Linked DNA regions of Lepisosteus oculatus. The protein of the gene in region 1 interacts with the protein of each later gene in a pairwise test. Links are inferred from orthologs where the notes say so. Each region holds a gene or a part of one and is shown in the gene's direction. Other genes may lie near its edges.

Region 1 (3,750 bases):
TATAAACAAGACCTATTGTTATCAGTATTTGGATTAACATGGACTAATTGCGGGGAATAAGTACCACTACACCTAAAACACGTGGAGAAATGTATTTTCATAACGCAGCTGTGTTCTAGAGCAGATAACACATACAGACCTCTAAATATGTTCAATACATCCTTTTTTTAAATGAAAATAAAATGCTATGTCTTTTAATCTTATTACCGGAGTATATAATTGAGAGAATTCTCAAAAATGACGTCAGTATTATCTTGTAGTATTAATGAATACATTGCTTTCCCGCCCCTTCTCGTCATTAACAACAAAAAAAATCCCTCTCTCTCAATTTATCGATTTTTTTTTTCCCCTTCTGACCGCGTCAACCTTAACCACTGACTCACACCTCCCCGCTCATCCGCTCCTGTCAGCTCATCCAATGAGAGGGAAGAGTACACGTGAACGGCGCCGCGGGAGCCAATCAGCGTTAGGAGTTGTTCTACAGCGCTGCGTGACCGGGTCTTCCATTGTAGAAAGTAGTGCCGACAAAGACACCAGCAGCCTTAAGGATTGTGACGTAAGCTGAGCTTTCGATACGCCACGTTCGATTTTCAAAACTATCAATAATTGACATCGTTAACTGTATTGCAAAATAACGGGAGTCCCCGTTTGTTTGGGTTTCCGTGTGTCGGGCTTTGTTATGGTCCTGCCGGATGTATCTATGCCCGCGCATACGTCATACGTGACGTCATTTTTGCGCTAAAAAGAAAGGGACGCGGGATCATGTTCAAATGCATTCTGAAATTAAAAAGCGGAAGAAACACAGCAGAATTTAACAAAAAAAAAAAGCGCCAACAGTGTGAACGAACAATCGATGAGAAAAACGGCAACCCAGGTCGGTTGCATTCAATGGGCGGGGCAGAGAACCTAAACTGCTATTTAAACCTTTCAAGTTTATCTTCATCTTAGGTGAACTCGCGACGCCCTCCATGATTTTCCTTTTTTAAAAGAAAAAACCGCGTGTGTTTACGAGCACACACGCTTCAAGGCTTCTAAAACTGTCATGTGGAATGAGCACGGCCGTGAGCCTGTCGCGCCCGACCAATGTTTTCACCAGCGCCCTACTTCCCGGCGCGCCCGAGCTCCGCTATTGGACGAGTGGCGGACTGATACGAGCGCCCAAGGATGAGTCGCCCTCGGAAGGACACACGGCCGTGGCGGTGGCTATATAAGCGGAGGCGGATGACGAACTGCCACATTTCTGCCCTTGAAGAACAAGAAGAAGAGAGTCGTTTTCAGATCCGTGACACGAGCGGCCCCGCTCCCCACCCCACAGCAATGGCAGTATAACGGCGTGCAGCGGCCCAACCAGCAGCGGCAAACCCGGCAGTGCAGCGGCGAATTGCACTGGCTTTATATTTGGCAAACATGGCGTGAGTATATGTTTTGTTCTGCTTCACCCGCGGAGGTCGGAAGTGTAGTTGTGGGTTGCCAAGCAACCACTTCAGTGTTAAGTGAGGTGATCCTGAAAATGAAGGTCCGGGTTATGTTATCCGATTTCTTTTTAAATGGGTAAACCAAGACTGGTGTATGGAGAATGTAATGACGTTTAAACATCAATAATTTCGGAGATGGGGGTCATTTAGTATCAACATATGGACGAATGATTACTGTAGAATTTGTAGTGGGGGAGACCCGTTTAACTCATTAAAATGGGCCTATAAACGCGCTCTGCCTTGTTGATAGCGTACAACGTGTCCATTCGTCTTTCCTGCTCGCTTGACGTGTTGAATGAATTAGACACGTTCCGGCCGGTCCCCGCTATTCGATCGGTTTTGGCAACGTGGCAGCCAAGTAAAATGGCGTTGGTCCCCCGCACTTCCCCAGCGCTAGGGAGTGGAGCTCCAGGAAAATGGCGTCTGTTTTAGGGAGTGGGAGAGGCATGCCTCTGTACGGGCAGGGCGACGTCTGCGGCTCATCCGCCACAGCGAGTGGAGCTTGTTCTCTGTGGGAGGGAGGTATTGAAGGGCGCCGAATCTTTGGCCCCGCCCACACGGGTTCCCGGAATAATGGTTGCTGTAGCAACTGCCGGGCTGGGCGCCAGCGGCGTGAGTCACAAGACGAGAGGGGCGGGGCTCCCGCTCGGGCCATGCCCATATTTGGTGTGCTTGTTTCCATTTGCGGGCGGGGTTTTCCTCCCCTCCCCGGCGGGTTGCTGGGGCGTCATGCTGAAAAATGAACCAGGAGAGGGACACACGGGTACCACAGTGTAATTACCCAGGGGGGGGATTTCGTCAAAATCAGACGAAAGGCAACAAGGTGGTTTTGTTCAGTTGTACCCCAGAGATTAAAAACACATACCCCCCCCCCCCCAATACTTTCTGGGTTGCAAATATGTGAAGTAGCAGATCTTGCAAAAGCTTTGAACCAGTTTAAATCTGAAGCCAGTAAGATCTGTCACTGTGAGCAAGCTCGAGGACATTGGGGAGACATGGAGGGGGGGGATGTGCCCCACAACAGGCGGCCCTTCGCTTTGTTCGGCGTTAGTAAATTTCCGTGAATCGCACTACATCGTTTTCCTCGATGGCGTCTTTTTTTTTCCCCTCACCGCTCTCTCCCTTGCTCCTGCAGGTCCCTCAAGGCAACCCTCAGCACTGCTGCAGTCGACAGCACAGAAGACCGGCTCGACTCCCCGTCACCAGCAGACCCCTCGGCGCCCCCCCTCTCTCTGCCCGCCTTGTTGCTCTGCCCCGCGCTGACCAGCCATGCTGTCGCTGAGCGCCCGCCTGGGGCTGGAGGAGCCCCTGTGGGACCAGCCGTTTCTGACGGCTGACTCCCTGGGCTCCCTCCTGGGTGAAGAGCCTCTGGAGGGGGCGCCTTCGACCCCCTCCGATGCCTCTCTCTCTCCCTCCTCCTCTCCCTCTTCCCCCTCTCTCTTCGGCTGCCCCTCTCTGGGCAAGGCTGATGATGACCTGGGCCTCCACTGGCTGTCCACTGGCACGCTGCTGGACGCCACCGCTGTGAGCAGCGGGAAAGGTGAGGCTTTGCGTCTCCGGCCTGCGCGCTTTTCCTCGCGGCTGTGTCCCGAGGTTTCTCCGGCGGCACCGGAGTCTGCCGTACGAAGCACCTTACAATACAAACGTGTTCTTAGACTCCTGATCTCCTGAGCTCCCTCAGCACTAGAGATCTGTATCCAGACGTTTGGATGAGGGGGTGCCCTCTCCTGTTGTGAGCTGGTTTGTGGGTGGCGTTTTTTTCTTCCCCCCCAGGGGTGGGAGGCTTGGTCTTGTTTTGAAGATTTTTGGGGTTGGGGCAAACGCTTGCATGCTGGTCAGATCGCAACATCCACCTGTGGACGTTTAGAAATAACTGCGGTTTTTATTTTTTTAAAAAATCCCCAGCGCTGTCTCTTTTTTTAAAGTCACGCCAGTCGATGAAAACCGAAGTGCTTATCCCCCCTGTGTTTCGTCTCCCTTGCTCCGCAGAGTCGGAGGATGCCTTCTCCGGCATGGATTGGATGGCGGAGAAGATTGACCTGAGCGAGTTCGACCTGGATTCCCTGATGGGCTCCTGCGCGTCGGACGACCCTCCCAGCTCACCGGAGGAGCTCATCGCTTCCTTGGAGAACGACCTGGACCTCGACCTGGACCCCCTCCCTCTCCCCGACCCCCTGCCCGCGGTCGGCGCCGGCGGCCCCCTCGTCCTCTCCGACACCCAGCAGGACGTGGCCGTTGCCCTGCCTGAGCTCCTGCTGCCCCTCCCCCTCCCCCT
Region 2 (3,750 bases), on another chromosome or scaffold:
AGCAAGAACATGCAAACTCCATATAGACAGCACCCCAGGTCCAGAACTGAACCCAGGGCCCCAGCACTGCAAGGCAGCAATGCTAATAGCTGCACCACCATGCCATCTGTATGATACAAATCCCACTTCTTAATGAGTGACTTCACAGGGCTCAGGGATATACAGTGTTTTTGAATTCCTTATAGCTTTCTCCTGATTTGTGCTTTTCTACAACATCTCTGCAATATTTTGAGACCTCCTTGGTCTTCGTGGCTGAATCCTTGCATGAAATTCACTACCTGAATGGGACAGATGCATTTATGGTGAAGAATTATCATTGGACACAGAGCCCAATGAACTTCTTGTGTGGCAATGTGAAAGTAATTTTGGGCACCTGGTTAGAGCATATGGTTCGAATATTTCATGCAATCACGAGTTTTCCCTTTTCCTTAATATTTTTATTAACCCTTTTCCACTGAATTTTGTGTTGGAAGGTGTGGAATAGATTGTGTACATAAATACCGATATTCCAAAGTGTCATGACCGCTTGTTTTAAAGCGACAAAATGTAAAATCCGTGCGAAAAAAAGTTAAAACATCTGTACTCTTACTGTTTAAAGGGCATGCTGTTGCCGCACCTGCTATTTTGCTCGTTTAATCTGTACTATTCCCCTGTCCTGTAAAAAGAAAGCTACACTATGTTTAAACGTTACAGTTTCAGTTTTATTATTTTAAGAGACCTTCTCCGGAATCCGCGTCATCGTTCCATAATGTTCTCGAAACCCAAGGGTCAAAGATGGTATAAAAAAAACCCCAACAACACCCGTGTCTACATTTTAAACGATGAGGCGAGCTTTCAGCACCTCTCTGAGAACCAGACAAACAATAACCGAGTCTTATTTTCTTAACAGCCGGATTCCCAGAACTGAGACTTCCTTCAAATATCTCCCCTCCACCCTTCCAACTGAACATGCGTCTGAATCTAAACAGTGAAGGTACAGTATGGGCATTGTTCGGACGCACACGCTCCTTATTTGACCTGTGACTGGGAGCTTTCGCTGTTGACACCCTGCGCGTCTATGCGGAAGTTGCGCGCATATCCCGCAGCAGCGCCCTCCCCCCCGGCGCCGCGGCGGCCTCCCCGGATTGGCCGGCCGGGCTGCCGCTCAGCGGGCGCCTTGCGTCACCCCGGGCTGACGCGCCCCGGCCATTGGCTCAGCTGACAGATTCCCCTACACGGGGAGCTCGATTTCGCAATACTGACACCAGCTCCCGTACCACACCAAAACAGAAACAGGACCCCCCCTTACACACACGCACACACACTTTTTTTTTTGGTATCGAGGGGGGAAAAAAAAAAAAAGAGAAAATTAAAAGACTTCGAGCCTCGATTAAAGATTCGGGTGGACCGGCGAGCGCCCCAGGTAAGTGGCGAGAGAGGGTTATTTTCCCTGCCGACCAGGATTTCTGTTCTCGTTGTTTTCCTCTTGCGATCTAAGCAGCGAGCCCAGGCTTGTGGGCTGTCGACTCGCGGGTTCAGGGAGGACTACGCGGTCCAGGATCGGAGTTTTAACCAGGAACAGGCGTCTTACGATGACCTCGGTGGGTATATCGGTCTGTGGGGATGTCATGGCGGCGGGGTCGCGGCGGTTTTAGGCTCGTTTCGGGCTGTTAGGAGCGTTTGGAGCGAAGCTACCCGACGTGTTATTGAACAGTGGGCGGATCCATGCAGCTGGTACCCCCCCCCCCACACACACACACGCACCCGGCGAGTCATTTATTGTGATTAGTGTCTTTTTAAAAAAAGAAAAGACCCGTTTAAATGTAAAATTCGGCCGCGGGTCGGCGGAGCGAGAGCGAGAGTGAGGGGAGGGGGGGCGCGCGGAGCGCGGAGCGAGCTGCCCCGTGCCGGTGCTCTCTCGTGCGGCGGCGCGCGGAGTTTCCCTTTCCCTTCCCGAGGCTGCAGGGAGCGCGAGGGGAAGAGGCCGATGATGCAACCAGGAGCAACACGGCGGGTACGCGCGCTGATGTAATCCGGGCGACACACATGCACGCCGCACACGTGTTCACGTCGCCCGCTGGGGTTTATCTCCAGTCATCTCTGCCCTGCTGCCTGGCCCCTTTTAGTGTCTTCGAATAGCCAACAACAACACCTAAAACAGCGCCAGAATGTGTAGATGAGCGCTGGGGGTTTAAGGGCAGGCGGGGGAGCTGGGAGTCCAGATCCACGCTGAAGTGTTTTGCCTGTGGAGCCTTCTTCAGGTGTGTGTGTGTGTGTGTCTGTGTGTGTCTGTGTGTGTCTGTGGTGGTGGTGGGGGGGAGAGGCCACGTATTTCTTCTTCTCGTCCACGCAGTGGAGGAAGACTTCACAGCCGAAACATTTAACTTGTGTTCTTTTCAGCGTGGGATTTAACCTCGTCGCCACTTTACGGCAGCGCGAATGCGCAGGGCATCTTAAATGATGTACACACGACGCTAAGTCATCGTTTACGCATTCGCAGGCTGACATGAGTACCCAGCGATTGACTTGTATTTGGATATATATCCCCTTGATTAAACAAGACACGAGAATCGTCTGCACACAGTTTATGTTGTTTTCTAGGAAGAAACTGTGACCGGCTTACCTGAGCCTGCTTGTCGTGGGCAACACGATTTCTACATATCCAATACGTATTTCGTCCAGGGTTATAGAGAGATAACCCAAACTCCAAAGTTGACATTTGATTTATCTAAACTCGGCACCAGCTCCCCAGACTCGCGAGCGACGTCGAGTCTCTGCGCCGCGCGGTCATGTGACTTATGGGGTTTGGTCACATGGGATGCAGGTGAATTTGGGAACCCGGAAGTAGACGCGAAAGATGGAGGTGTTCCTCCTATATTTGCTTTTTTATATAGTTAATTGGTTGCCGATGGAGGGACCAAATAAAGTTAATGAAAACCCAGCGCAGACGTCTTAATTTGAGCTCGGATCCTGTTGCGTTACCCATCCATCCATTTTCTCATCGCTTCTCCCAGTACAGTGTCATCTGGGAGCCGGGGCCTGTCCAGGCAGACAAGGTGGGGTACCAGTCCATGGCAGGGCACACGCAACACTGTGGCCCCTTTCTCAGAGGCCAGTTGACCTACCAGTGTGTGGACTGTGAGAGAACCTGAGCACCAGGAGGAAACCCACATGAACCCGGGGAGAGAACATGCAGACTCCACACAGACAGCTCATCAGGCCCAGAACTGAATGCAGGGCCCCAGCGCTGCAAGGCAGCAGTACTGACCACTGCACCACTGTGCCTCCCAGTTACATTTAATTAGTGGGGGAACATCTTCATTATGTCACTGAGATTATATAAAGCTTTTTTAAGTTGCTACAGCGGGTTTGAATTCAACTGATATTAACAGCTTCTTGGAACAGACAGCCCTGCTAGCTGCACAGCGAAGGACCAAGTGCTGGGTAACCACCCAGAAACTGACACTCCCTATTCAATGTACAGGGCAAAGCTAGTGTGTAAAAAAAATGACACCTGAAGAAGGCTCCACGGCCGAAACGTTGTGTTTTCTTTCTTCTCTTTTCAGCAGGGAAGTAAACCTATTACTTGTTCCATGAAAATAAAGTACCACTTCTATGCCTGATGCAATTGATGGGATAATACTGGATGTGCTAACACGCTTTTTAGAGCAGCATTTCAAAACAGAAATCTCTTGGTGCCACTGTACTGGCAACTTTGCTTTCTCATATCTCGTGCTTTGACTCAATTGCAGAGACTTACGCAGTGGCTGC
Region 3 (3,750 bases), on another chromosome or scaffold:
AAAGGTTAGCTGATTCATGGCCACGGGGGACAGTGATAGGCTATTTTTCAACTTTTTTTTTAACTATAAATACAAGCAATACAATAATAAACACAAAGCGTTATATTTTCTACCGGGTTACACTAAAAAACAAAATATAAATAATAGTACAGTAAAATAGCTTTTGCTCAGATTAGCGTTAATAAAAGTCAGTATATATTCAGGATACTTATCTGAAAACTTCAGAGTGCTATTGAAGTTCTGAGTTATGACCAACTTTTAAGCGCGCATTTAAGAAAGCCTGAAATTCATTATATACAACTCTTAAGAAACACTGCGATTGAGTAATGAACGAATTTTGTTGGATCAGGATTTTTTTCGGCGTGCGGGTATGTCTGAGAGCTAGTTATCATGGCGACTACTACGACATAAAATTCACAGGCAGGGAATGAGGCTGCTTTCGGAAGACCACTGTTAGTAAGGAAGAAATACTCCCGGTTTTAAAACTGCGAGGTTTCACGGTGCTGAGAGGGACTCTAAAATCAGCACTTTTCTGCTGGAGACCCCCCGTCCCCGAAAATGTTCTCCCCAAATCCTCATTCCCACTTGAAAAAAATGACGAAAACAAAAGTTCTCATTACCAGCCTACGAGTAAGTTACACGCAATGTGGTCTTAAAAGTTTTAAACGCCGTTCAGAGAACGGCACCAAATCAAAGTTTAACAGGTCGTCTGCCTGCTTCTCCTTGGAAACCGGTTGCCAACGATTGCATCATTTCACATGACTCCCACATGCCCCGGCGTTCGTCCTAGGCGTCTTCTGACTGCATCACAACTTCTTCGGCACACAAACTATACAGCCCGCGACAGCTAGCAAGGTTAACTAGGCCCGCCCCCTTCTTTGCCACACATCTTGGAGAGCTGAGCATCTTCGCCCTCTCATTGGATATCACTAAGCGAAAGTGCCCTCGAGCGCTGCGTGGAATGGACAGCAGACCTGTCAATCACAGCTTGACGCTAAGCAGTCAGACTAGACTGTCACCTCCCCTGTTGTCTCAAGTGGTTTGGTTGCTCCAAGTATATAAGCATCGCCGGGAGTTTCCGAAATTCACATTCAGTGACATTACTGAACAATGGTTAACATGAGCTATCATCACTCCACACCAGAAAATAAAAATTCTCCGAACCACAGACAGTCAAGAAAGCGAAATAATAAAAGAAAAAGGGTGAGTGTTTTTTTTTGTCTATTCTGAATTCCAAGAATTCCAAGAGCTTTTTCGCTCTTTTCTGGACACGCTGTGCTAACTTTAACTTATTCCCTAGCGGTGAGGGTTGAGGTTGTGGAAAAAATACAAGCAGGGACATGTTTTGGCAGAACTCCCATGTCCGTTTTAGGAAAACAGTTGTTATTCCCGTTTTAACATTACGAGGTTTTCCTTTTTGTGTTGTGTTTTTTTTTTAATGACAATGTTCTTTCGAATGTGGCGACTTATTGGTTTTTAAGATGTTCGATCTTGTCTTGAATGTGAGCGTTAAAAAAAAGTTATTCTATTTTTAGTTACCTTTTTTTCACGTCTATACCTGAATTACAACCTAGGAGCCAATTAATATTGAAATAATGTCAGTGTAATTCAAGCTTAATTTAATAAAACCTCACACTGTTTCAGTGTTTCGCTAACCAAGACGTCCGTATATCGAATGACTGGGACTGTCAGTTTATATATATATATAAGTTTAGGAAATCGATTAGGCTTCAAATGTTTTAATTCATGTGTGTTCATTCCGTACTGGTTTAGTACTACAAGTGAATTTGACTGTTAATTATGCTTCCCAGGAAGCGTGATCAAGAGCCTCAGACTGCCTTTGTGTGTCTGATTCCATTACGTAATACAACCACCCGCACTCGATGAACAAACAAGCCGAGGAAGAAAATCGTCCTATTGAGACAAGGTTTCATTAAAAAAAAAACATGCATACTAAACCATGTTTCTCCGATGCTAGCTGCGATAGTTTCTACTGCTTCCACTGCCTAGCGTCCAATATATTTTCTAACACCAGGAGTAGAACGCCGAGTTTACTGTTTCGGTGTGTACAGAACAATAATTACATAAATGCTAAACAGAGAGGAATTATTGTTGTGGTCGCTCTCCTCTGAACTGGTAACGGATTTGCCTCCGTGAGTTTGGATAGTGGAAACTAACTTGAGCCATGAGGGGAACAGTGTTTTTCTGTTCTTATCCGCGCTGAGTAAAGGTAATCAAGAAATAGCACCATGGAGACAAATAGAGCGCCATTTAATGACAAAGTGTATAGATTTTTAAGAAACGTTTCAACTGCGCTGGTTCACCTGTGTGTCGTTAACGAGCTCCTTCCACCTGTGCCCCGTGCTCGAGCGCCTCCTCGCCGCGGGGTTAAGCGAGGGATCAGCGCTGTAACCCAGACGACCGCACGGGGGCGCTCGCGAGCGACGCCGATGTTTGCATGGAAACCAGCGTGACCTAAATTTCACAGTGGATTTAGCCCGGTAGGAAATAAACAAGTCCCTTGTCCAGCCATGTTTATTTATTAAAAAAAAACAACATTTTAAAACGTCCCACCTGGAGTGAATAGTTATAAACGGCAACAATTTGAAGTGTCTGAAAATTTAATGTGACATAAAATATTAAATGTAACTTTGATGCAGATCGTTTTCTTGGTTATCATCTCAGCACATCACAGAATGCCTAAGCATGGGCGTGTTCCAATCAGTCCATTTTTATCTCGGATGCTGTCTGATATGTGTGACAGAAGCTGTGTAAAATGTGTGTCAGCCTGCCCAGCTGTAGGTTTTGATTCTGCTGTAGGGGGTATTCAGATTCTTCTGAGTACAAGATATTAACAAAAGATATTTGTTTTTCCCTAGATCGTCTCTGACACACCAACACCGCCGAATCATCGCCAGACTTGATTAAAAGGTGAATGGTGCTGTTGTTTTTTTAGGATAAGAAGCAAAGAGTTATGTTCTAGTACTTGTGAAGACTGGTGACAGTTACTTACCTTTGATAAACCCGTATAATTTTTTTTTTTTCCCCACTTACTGAGCTATATAAGGGAGTAAGAGATGAAGGTGTGCTATGAGTTTTGAAGCCGCTTGCAGTATCAAACTTTTAAAATTATAAACATTATACATTATAAATGGGGCATGTTTTCAAAGTGAATGTAAGCCAGCAGGCTGCGCTGTTTCTCAGTCTCAATGCCACCCCCATAAGTGCACCGCAGCTTGTCATATTATTACCTTATAACTTACACTTACACTTTTATATAGAGTTTTTCAGGACACTCCAGTCAAAGTGCTATACGGGTAATGGGAACTCGACTCCACCACCAGCAGTGTGCAGCCCCAACTGCACCAGTACACTCGCCACACACTAGCTATCGGTGGAGAGGAGAACAGAGTTGTACTATATTAAAACATCTCTGTTCGGACCGGAATTCGCAGACAAGAGGAGGTCATTCATCAGTTCTGTCCCGTTTGCTCATTGGTACTTGATTGATCCCAGGATCTCATCCAGCTGTTTCTTGAAAGAAGCCAGGCTATCGGCTTCAACAACATGGATGGTTGGCTTGTTTCACACTCCCACCACCCTTTGTGTAGAGAACTTCCTCCTGTTCTCAGTTTTCAGTGCTCTTCCATGTGTTTTCCCCCACTTATGTTCTTTAGTTCGTGTCGCTGTTCATTCTGAAGAAGTCCGGTGGGCTGACTCTCGTTTGTGACCAAGATTCAAAATTGCCTT

What was found.
Region 2: the proteins of atf4a (region 1) and cebpg interact in binary tests that used the Homo sapiens proteins (3 or more experiments, as listed by UniProt). The link is inferred for Lepisosteus oculatus from reciprocal best matches to the Homo sapiens genes ATF4 and CEBPG.
Region 3: the proteins of atf4a (region 1) and ddit3 interact in binary tests that used the Homo sapiens proteins (3 or more experiments, as listed by UniProt). The link is inferred for Lepisosteus oculatus from reciprocal best matches to the Homo sapiens genes ATF4 and DDIT3.

Annotation. Positions count from the first base shown.
Region 1 is NC_090707.1:36,440,830-36,444,579, reverse strand, and holds the start of atf4a (cyclic AMP-dependent transcription factor ATF-4), read left to right. Parts: upstream 1-1,227; 5' UTR 1,228-1,412; intron 1,413-2,610; 5' UTR 2,611-2,744; coding exon 2,745-3,015; intron 3,016-3,464; coding exon 3,465-3,750. UniProt on the Homo sapiens protein: Transcription factor that binds the cAMP response element (CRE) (consensus: 5'-GTGACGT[AC][AG]-3') and displays two biological functions, as regulator of metabolic and redox processes under normal cellular conditions, and as master transcription factor during integrated stress response (ISR).
Region 2 is NC_090715.1:15,638,543-15,642,292, reverse strand, and holds the start of cebpg (CCAAT/enhancer-binding protein gamma), read left to right. Parts: upstream 1-1,170; 5' UTR 1,171-1,402; intron 1,403-1,408; exon of another isoform or gene 1,409-1,580; intron 1,581-2,602; exon of another isoform or gene 2,603-2,755; intron 2,756-3,750. UniProt on the Homo sapiens protein: Transcription factor that binds to the promoter and the enhancer regions of target genes. Binds to the enhancer element PRE-I (positive regulatory element-I) of the IL-4 gene. Binds to the promoter and the enhancer of the immunoglobulin heavy chain.
Region 3 is NC_090696.1:18,057,034-18,060,783, forward strand, and holds the start of ddit3 (DNA damage-inducible transcript 3 protein), read left to right. Parts: upstream 1-1,030; 5' UTR 1,031-1,203; exon of another isoform or gene 1,204-2,501; intron 2,502-2,879; 5' UTR 2,880-2,931; intron 2,932-3,750. UniProt on the Homo sapiens protein: Multifunctional transcription factor in endoplasmic reticulum (ER) stress response. Plays an essential role in the response to a wide variety of cell stresses and induces cell cycle arrest and apoptosis in response to ER stress.